2 linked regions of the Tribolium castaneum genome follow. The protein of the gene in region 2 interacts with the protein of the main gene of each other region in a biochemical or structural test. Links are inferred from orthologs where the notes say so. Each region holds a gene or a part of one and is shown on either strand. Other genes may lie near its edges.

Region 1 (3,978 bases), on a different chromosome or scaffold from region 2:
TGCGCTTGCCTTCCATTTGTAATTGCACTTTGAGTAAATCGGCCGGACTGGCAATGTACTGTGCAAAGGCCCCCGCTGTGACCCCACAAAGGGCCGACTTCCACACGGGGAAGTACTGCTCGGTGCCCGAGTCGAAAAACTTGTCTTTGAGGTGCTTGTACGTGACAATTCGAGTACCTGAGTAGAACAAGTGGCGGTACAAGGCGGCGTACGCCCCCTGCCACAGCTTCAGAAACCCCTCCTCGGAGACGATCCCCACGGCGGTGCGGAACAGCCCCCGGTACGGGGCCTTGACCATGCTCGCATCTTTGGTGTTGGCGACCTCACCCTGTATTTGCAGCCGCGTTTTGGCCAAATCTAACGGGTAAGTCACTGCAACGAGAGTCAAGGTCAGGTGATGAATAAATCAAAACTAACTTAAACGAAAGACTCGACAAACGCCAAGTTATTCTATAAATAAAGCGCGATTTTTTGAGGGAATACAAGGTGGCAAAAGTTACTTAATTTCTATTTTTACCTAACTCCGCATTCCACGCTCCGACCACCGATACCATGTACATGCACCATAGCGAGTCCACGTACTTGTGCTCCTTCGGGGGCGGAATCTGCGGCATCTTCACCAAAAAGCCTGAAATCACGGTCTTATAAGATTCCCATAGGGCAAAGTTCGAAACTCCCGCGGGGGCAATGTGCACGTAGCGTGACCGATAAAGACACAATAAGCCTTCATTCCTACTTTCTGCGTGATAAAGCGGAATGGAAATTGCAAAATTAATGAAAAAAAGGGCAATTAAAATTCAAAAAATTGTTGTGACGACTTGACAACACCGCACTATTAACCTGCAACCAACTTGTTGTCACTTTGACACATTGACACCACTTGGGGCCAGTTAATGGCAAACTCACCATTTATTTGTTTGGTGGAACTTCCGTAACTTCATTAGTTAAGTAAATAACGAACAGTTATAGATAACAATTGTCACGGCAGTGCTTTTGGGACTACATTGTTGGTGACGTGTGAGTGGTGTTGGTAGAATTTGATTCAAGTGACAGACGATTACTGCGCCCCTGGCGAAAAGTAGTTCCGGATTATTTCACCTTTTTTTTGTTATTTCCGTACCCAGTATCGAATTCTTTCCGGATTATCGTCTTTTGCGCCTGATTACTTGTCCAAAGCCGGCGAGTTTGTTGTGTTTGCGCGATAAGAGCGATTGGCTGTGATAAGATAGTGTTCCTCCGCCATGATTGTCCTCCAGTGTTGAATTTCATCAGTGACAGAAGGGAGGGTTCTCGTAAGGTTCGCGTAAAAACCCAACAAAAACACCAAATAAAGTGATTATCTTCCAAAGAAATGTGTTATTCGTTAGATTACAAAGCGGATGCTTAGTGCTAGTTGGAGGAAGCCAATGTATTGACATTGCCGGTGCTATTTGAACTTTTTTGGAGTCAGCTCTTGTGCTTTTATTTGTGATAAGACGAACTTGAACAATGGAAGCAATAGCGAAGCACGAATTCAACGCAACGGCCGACGATGAGCTTAGTTTTCGTAGATCTCAAGTCCTAAAGGTACTTCCCCGAAATTGTGGCTTGCCCTAAAACCATTTTTCCAGATACTGAATATGGAAGACGACATGAACTGGTACAGAGCTGAACTGGACGGCAGAGAAGGCCTAATTCCTAGTAATTACATAGAAATGAAGAACCACAGGTAAATACACCTTGAGGGGTCACATGATAATAACACAATTCTCTTGAACAGTTGGTACTACGGTAGAATCACAAGAGCTGACGCCGAAAAACTGCTCTCAAACAAGCACGAAGGGGCCTTTCTCATACGTATTAGTGAATCCAGTCCAGGAGATTTTTCTCTATCTGTCAAGTAAACACACTTTTTAGCCCCCAAAATTATAAATAACCCCCATTATCGCAGGTGTTCTGACGGCGTGCAACATTTCAAGGTGCTAAGGGACGCCCAAGGCAAATTTTTTCTCTGGGTAGTCAAATTCAATTCGTTAAATGAATTAGTAGAATACCATCGCACGTCGTCCGTGTCCCGGTCACAAGACGTCAAGCTGAAGGACATGGTGGCCGAAGAGGTGCGGAATCGTATTGTCTTTATTTTCAGAACAATTGTCAGTGTAGTCATGTTGGTATAAGCATTATCACCCTGTAGTTATTTGATATATAGTCTGGTCTACGGAGGACTATAAGTTAGGATACTAAATCGCAGGATTTCCTGAACCCAAAAAAATTGTACGGTAGACTTAAATGAGGGCGCTTCAAGCACCAAATCGTTTTAAATTAATTTAAATTCAACCAATTCACTAATAACTCGGAAAAAATGCAGTAATGTTGAGTTTGCATTCTCATCAGACTGAGGAAAACTGTCGACTAAAGTTTTTATGAAAAACATGAGGAAAAAATTATTTAAAATTTGCGATGATTTTTTGTGGGAGTTTTGACCTTGACAATTGTTTTGGAGAATAAATGGATGTAGAAATGGGCAAATTGTGACGTTCCTGTTGCAGTGCTTGGTGCAGGCCTTATACGACTTTACTCCACAAGAAGCCGGCGAGCTAGAGTTCCGAAGGGGCGACGTAATAACGGTGACGGACCGCTCAGATCAGCACTGGTGGCATGGCGAGATCGGACACCGTCGCGGCCTATTCCCCGCTACTTACGTGACGCCTTACCACACATAATATTTTTCCCTTAATTATTATTTTCTCAAAGGCATTATTTCACCACCACTCTTGGAAAAACCTGCGCAACTGTGGGCGATTTTTTACTTGGTTTTTAATTTATGTGATTTTGTAATAATCGTTTAGATGATTTTATTAATTGCTCATTGTTTTTGGAAAATCTCTTAATGTAGTTTTAAGATCAAATATTTTTATATTGGATCAATTGTACTGAAAAACGTGAAATTTATTAATCTTCTTCAGTTCAGTAGGTTATGGAATATAATATAATGTTTAATTTTTTAGGTAGAGTGTATGACAGGTTGCTTACATTTTACTCTGTTCAGATATGCAACGAAATTAACCAGTTAGGAGCAAGTGGAGCTAGTTTCCGTCGAAGATTTAATATTTAAATCCAATTTCCTATAAGATAGTGCACACAATATCGTATTTTTAGCAAATCAGATGCCATTTTTTGTATTTCTTTAAGTTATGGAGATTCGTGAGTTTATTTCAAAAGATTTTTATTTGTATATAATGCGTTAGAGATTATGCCAGAATTTTATTCAACACTCATTCGTTTGGCATTCTCTTGCTTTGACTTTTAGACTTTGTATGTAAATACTAACATAGTTTTATTATTACAATATTGCATTATTATAATAGGCGAGTATAAGTAAATATATGTTATATAAATAACAGCCGTTTTATTGCTTTCCTCTAACTCCAAATAAATACTCCAATTTTCTGACCTGCCCAACTTTCCTTAGAAATTCCATAAAATTAGAAAAAGTATTATGATATAATTTTACTCAGATGAATTTCACTCGTTGAACATTGATTTAACATTTTGGAAGTCTGAAAATTACTGCTTTTCTCGAAAACAAAAAAGGAAATTCAAATTTCGCACCACAATTTCACTTGGTGAAAAAGTGGCGATAGCCAACATCACGGCACTAAAGTTCCTTTTCCACGAAGGAATCGAATCCCAGTGGCATCTTTCAACGTAAGTCCCTCTAATTTCGAAAAATCTGACCCATCATCAACGATCCCGCCCTTAAAACCCCTTTAAACGTTCAATAAGCCCCATTGCCACACAATCCTGTGCTTATTTTCCCAAATTCGGTCAAAAATCACCGAAACACCGCCATAACCTAACTCTTTCACGCATCTTCCAGGTTACTCGTAACTCAATTCTAACGTAAGGATGTCGGGAGGTCTGGAAGTTCTCAGCCTCAAAGAGGACGATGTGACCAAAATGTTGGCCGCCGGCACCCATGTGGGCACCACTAACGTA
Region 2 (3,830 bases):
TTTTCGACGTTCTTCTCGATTTCGTGCAGTTTATCCAAGGCGGCTTGTCGGCGCGCCCGCACTTGGAGGAAGGGGGTGGAGCAGCTGCGCAGCATGGCGGGGGAGGGGACGCACCGGGAGAGCTCGATTTGGAGGGGTTTGAGTAAGCCTTCGACTTGGGTGAGGGTTTCGCGGTCTTCGGGGGCCACGGACAGGCCCCGTAAAATGGTGATGTATTCGATGTAGGAGAAGCAGTGTCGGATGGGGCCCATTAGAAGCGCAGGCAGGTAATACTTGAGGGCGAGACGCATGCCTTGACCGGCTGAGATGAGCGCGTTTTCGACGTCGGGGCGCGAGAGGAGGCTGTTGAGGGTGGAGCGACATGTGGGGGCGGTTACGTCTTTCGCGTATTTTATGTACACGTCGAATTCGGCGGCTTCGGCCAGCTCTGCCAACAAAAAATTACATCTGAAGTTTTTTATAAGTAAATATATTTTTATGGCACTCGCTACGCTCGTGCCATTTCGCGAACTACTTTTAACGCCATTCGAAGTGTGCTTTAGCCGCGCTAAAATTTGGTTGCTTATAGCAACGGCCGATTTTGCTATTTTATTGTACACCTGACTATTTTGAAAATGTCGTGTCGGTAAATCAACCCATAAGCTCACACATTTGTTTTTGCAAATTTTATTTCAGAAAAAAATATTACATATAAAAATGTAAAAATTGTTACATGATGCGGCTCTGTATTAAAATTTGAATAAATATTATTTACATGTTCCCGTAGTGCTAACAGTTTCAAGTTAATCAGTGGTATAGCAAACAGCTTTGAGTAATTAAGTAATTTTATTATTAAAATTAGTTGAAATTTTTAAATTTTGTAATTTTTTTGTTTGTGGTTATAACTTTGAAATAGCCTATAGTTTATAATTATGACGTTTGCTTAAGTAATAATTAAATCAAAAGTTGCAATTCGCTTTATAATGATTTAATAACACAGATTTATTTCAAAAAAAATGTTAAAACTGAATGTAAATGTATTTTTATTGCTAGGTGAGACATTATCTGTTTTTTCAGGTGTACTAGCCTATGAGGCCCATTACAGACTCTACGAGATGAAATAAAGCTTCTCATAATAAACAGACAAAAATTTTTTATATGTAAAAAATTGTGAATTATAATTGTTTTTTTAATGCAACATTCGTTTCATTAAATTTATTATCAACCTCTAAATATAATTGTTATAAATAAACCAAACCAATTTTCTCAATATGTAAATTTGTCGGACAATTTTGACGTTTTTCGTCATTTATGACGAAATTACTGCAGCAAATATAAATAAATAAATACATAATAAAAAATAAATAAATTATTTCTTTGAAGATTCTTTCCATTATTCTTTATTATCTGCTACATATTAACTTTGTATAAAGTCAATGAATCAGACGAATTTTTTTTGTAATTTTTTTATTTTTATTTTTTTGTATTCATGACGATAAAAGCGAATGTTCTTACACAATTTTATTCAGTGTGTCTTACTTACTGTTGTCACGAATTGACACTTCATAAACTAATTAGGATTTTTTAGTACAAATATACTTCTAAAACCAATTTCTTGGGTGACATTGATTTTGTTGTGTACTGTACACAAAAAATTAATTTTTACATATTAACAAAAATTCTTTAAAAATAGCTCATAATTTTGATATTGTTATAACAAAAACACCCTCTAGAACCCTTAATTTAACCAGCTATTGCAATATTAACGACTTTTAGCTTAATCGTTCAATCAATTTTCAAAATTTTCATTAAAACAAGCTTTTTTTTATTGATAAAATACCACAAATCACCAACATGGCAGGTAAAAATCTATTACGAGGCTAGATTTACATAATCAAGCCGAAAAAACGGTTAAAAAACTTTTTATTTTCGTGACATAAACTCAAAAAAAATTAATTAACAAATTTTTTTGCTTAGAAATCGTGAAAAATCGGTACAAAATCAATGCAAGGTCCCAAAGTTGAAGATTTAAAATGTTTTGCAAAATTAAAACCTCACAAAAAAAATAATAAAGAAGCTTTTGCTGCGTACAGTCTTGGACAAAAGTAATGACAAAACTTTTTTATTTTGTAGATTAATTTGCGAATACAATTATTACATACAACGTGAATATGTAAATAACAATAACCTTAAAAAAATATTTATACCAATTTTTGTTTCTTAGAGATCATAAAAAAATAAAATGCAATACTTTTTTTTCAGAAAAATTACATTGTGTTGATTTTGATTTTTTTTTATAAATGTTTGGCGAGTTCTACAGTTTCGTAAAAGATATAAAAAGACATAAGAAAGTTTCGAAAAAATTAGTTATTCTTTGTTTTTTTCAAACGTTTCGAAATTAATTATTTTCGTATGAAGCCATTTGATTACGTGACGTTGGACCTAAAAATAAATTATTCCGTCCATAAAAACACAAACTTATTTTTATTCACTCAATTCCTATTTAAAACAATATTTTTTCATAGCCAATAAAAATATATATCGGTTTGTAAGCGCGCTGCAAAACCAGATAAGTTTTAAACTCTGCTGTAAAAATTAAAATATATACTTATTTACGACCAAAAAACACCAAACATAGTAATATTAAATGTCTCAGACTGGAAAAAACCGCCATGAAATGGCCATAAAATGCTAAACACCTGCTAAAAAATAAAAATTTCCATCTAAACATATCTTAAAATTAGTAATTCTCAATTATTGGTTCATTTATGCAATTACAAGTTTCAAAATCGCGTTACCTTCGAAACAGCTGCCAATGTACGACATTTGGTCTTGCGCCATCTCGATGACGTCCTCCAAACTACCCAATAGAGTATACGTCAGTTCGTAAATATCCATAATGTTCGAAAAAATCAGTTCAATTTCGGTCGAATCGGAGCTTAGTTTGATAATTTCCTCGCTGCAACAGTCGTCACACATCACGTGACCCGACCAAATCCGAGACTTACCGAAACACTTTGATCAACATGTGTAGTTCTTTGATGTATGCTTTTTCCGAAGCTATTAACTCTCTTACGACTTCCTCATACGTGAGACTCGTGCGCGGAGCCGACGACACTAAAAGCGACTCAGTCGGTAAACCAGGTCCCCCTCCTTCATCTTGATAGAACATATCCATGAGTGCCTATAAAAAATACGAAAGTGTGAAGAAATGACCGACGCTGACTAGATAAAGTGTGCAAAAGCGGAAATCATAGTGACCTGTGCAAGCGGCAACTAAAATCAAGCCCATCTATGACAAGTCTCTGGCGGCTAGTTCTATAACTAGGGAGAAAAACATGCTGCCACATTGAAAGAAATTAAATAACTAAAAACATGGCTACCTACCATGGCTGTGGGCTGTGACGCAGCGTGAAAGCAAAAGCAAGTTAATCAAAAAAATGAAAAGCTTCTCCATTTTTTTTAATCCTAACCTAACTCGTCAAATAAAAAACATCTAGCTAGTGATTATTACAGTGGCCTACCTTATCCGCATTCATCGAAATCTGGACATCCTGGTAGGTGATTTCGAAATGTTTGATGTTTTTCACGTAATTTCCCGCCAATTTTAAAATATCGGCCGAAATGTACTCCAAAACAGCGACTAGAAAGAGGGAGACGGTCGAGTCGACTTTGTACAATAGCAATTCCTAAATCGCATAAATCAGTTATACATACTTGATTTTTTCTACAAGTTACCTTTTGTAATAAACTGTGAATTTTGTCAACTGGCAACAGCAAAACGGACTTCTTTTTGCCTCGATCGAGGGCGCCTTGGGCCTCTTTCAAGGCCCACTTATCGATGGGGGTAG

The links.
Region 1: the proteins of Sos (region 2) and drk interact in a test that uses a peptide from one of them, tested with the Drosophila melanogaster proteins (2 studies listed by BioGRID, with this or other methods). The link is inferred for Tribolium castaneum from reciprocal best matches to the Drosophila melanogaster genes Sos and drk.

Annotation. Positions count from the first base shown.
Region 1 is NC_087399.1:3,452,185-3,456,162, reverse strand, and holds drk (growth factor receptor-bound protein 2), read left to right. Parts: upstream 1-1,425; 5' UTR 1,426-1,488; coding exon 1,489-1,566; intron 1,567-1,610; coding exon 1,611-1,708; intron 1,709-1,759; coding exon 1,760-1,879; intron 1,880-1,930; coding exon 1,931-2,096; intron 2,097-2,528; coding exon 2,529-2,702; 3' UTR 2,703-3,380; downstream 3,381-3,978. Other genes in the region: Ucp4A (mitochondrial uncoupling protein 4), read right to left, coding at 1-372, 518-628, 841-871; sta (small ribosomal subunit protein uS2), read left to right, coding at 3,889-3,978.
Region 2 is NC_087401.1:14,845,164-14,848,993, forward strand, and holds part of Sos (protein son of sevenless), read right to left. Parts: coding exon 3,718-3,830; intron 3,669-3,717; coding exon 3,504-3,668; intron 3,379-3,503; coding exon 3,367-3,378; intron 3,164-3,366; coding exon 2,988-3,163; intron 2,939-2,987; coding exon 2,778-2,938; intron 428-2,777; coding exon 1-427. UniProt on the Drosophila melanogaster protein: Promotes the exchange of Ras-bound GDP by GTP. Functions in signaling pathways initiated by the sevenless and epidermal growth factor receptor tyrosine kinases; implies a role for the ras pathway in neuronal development.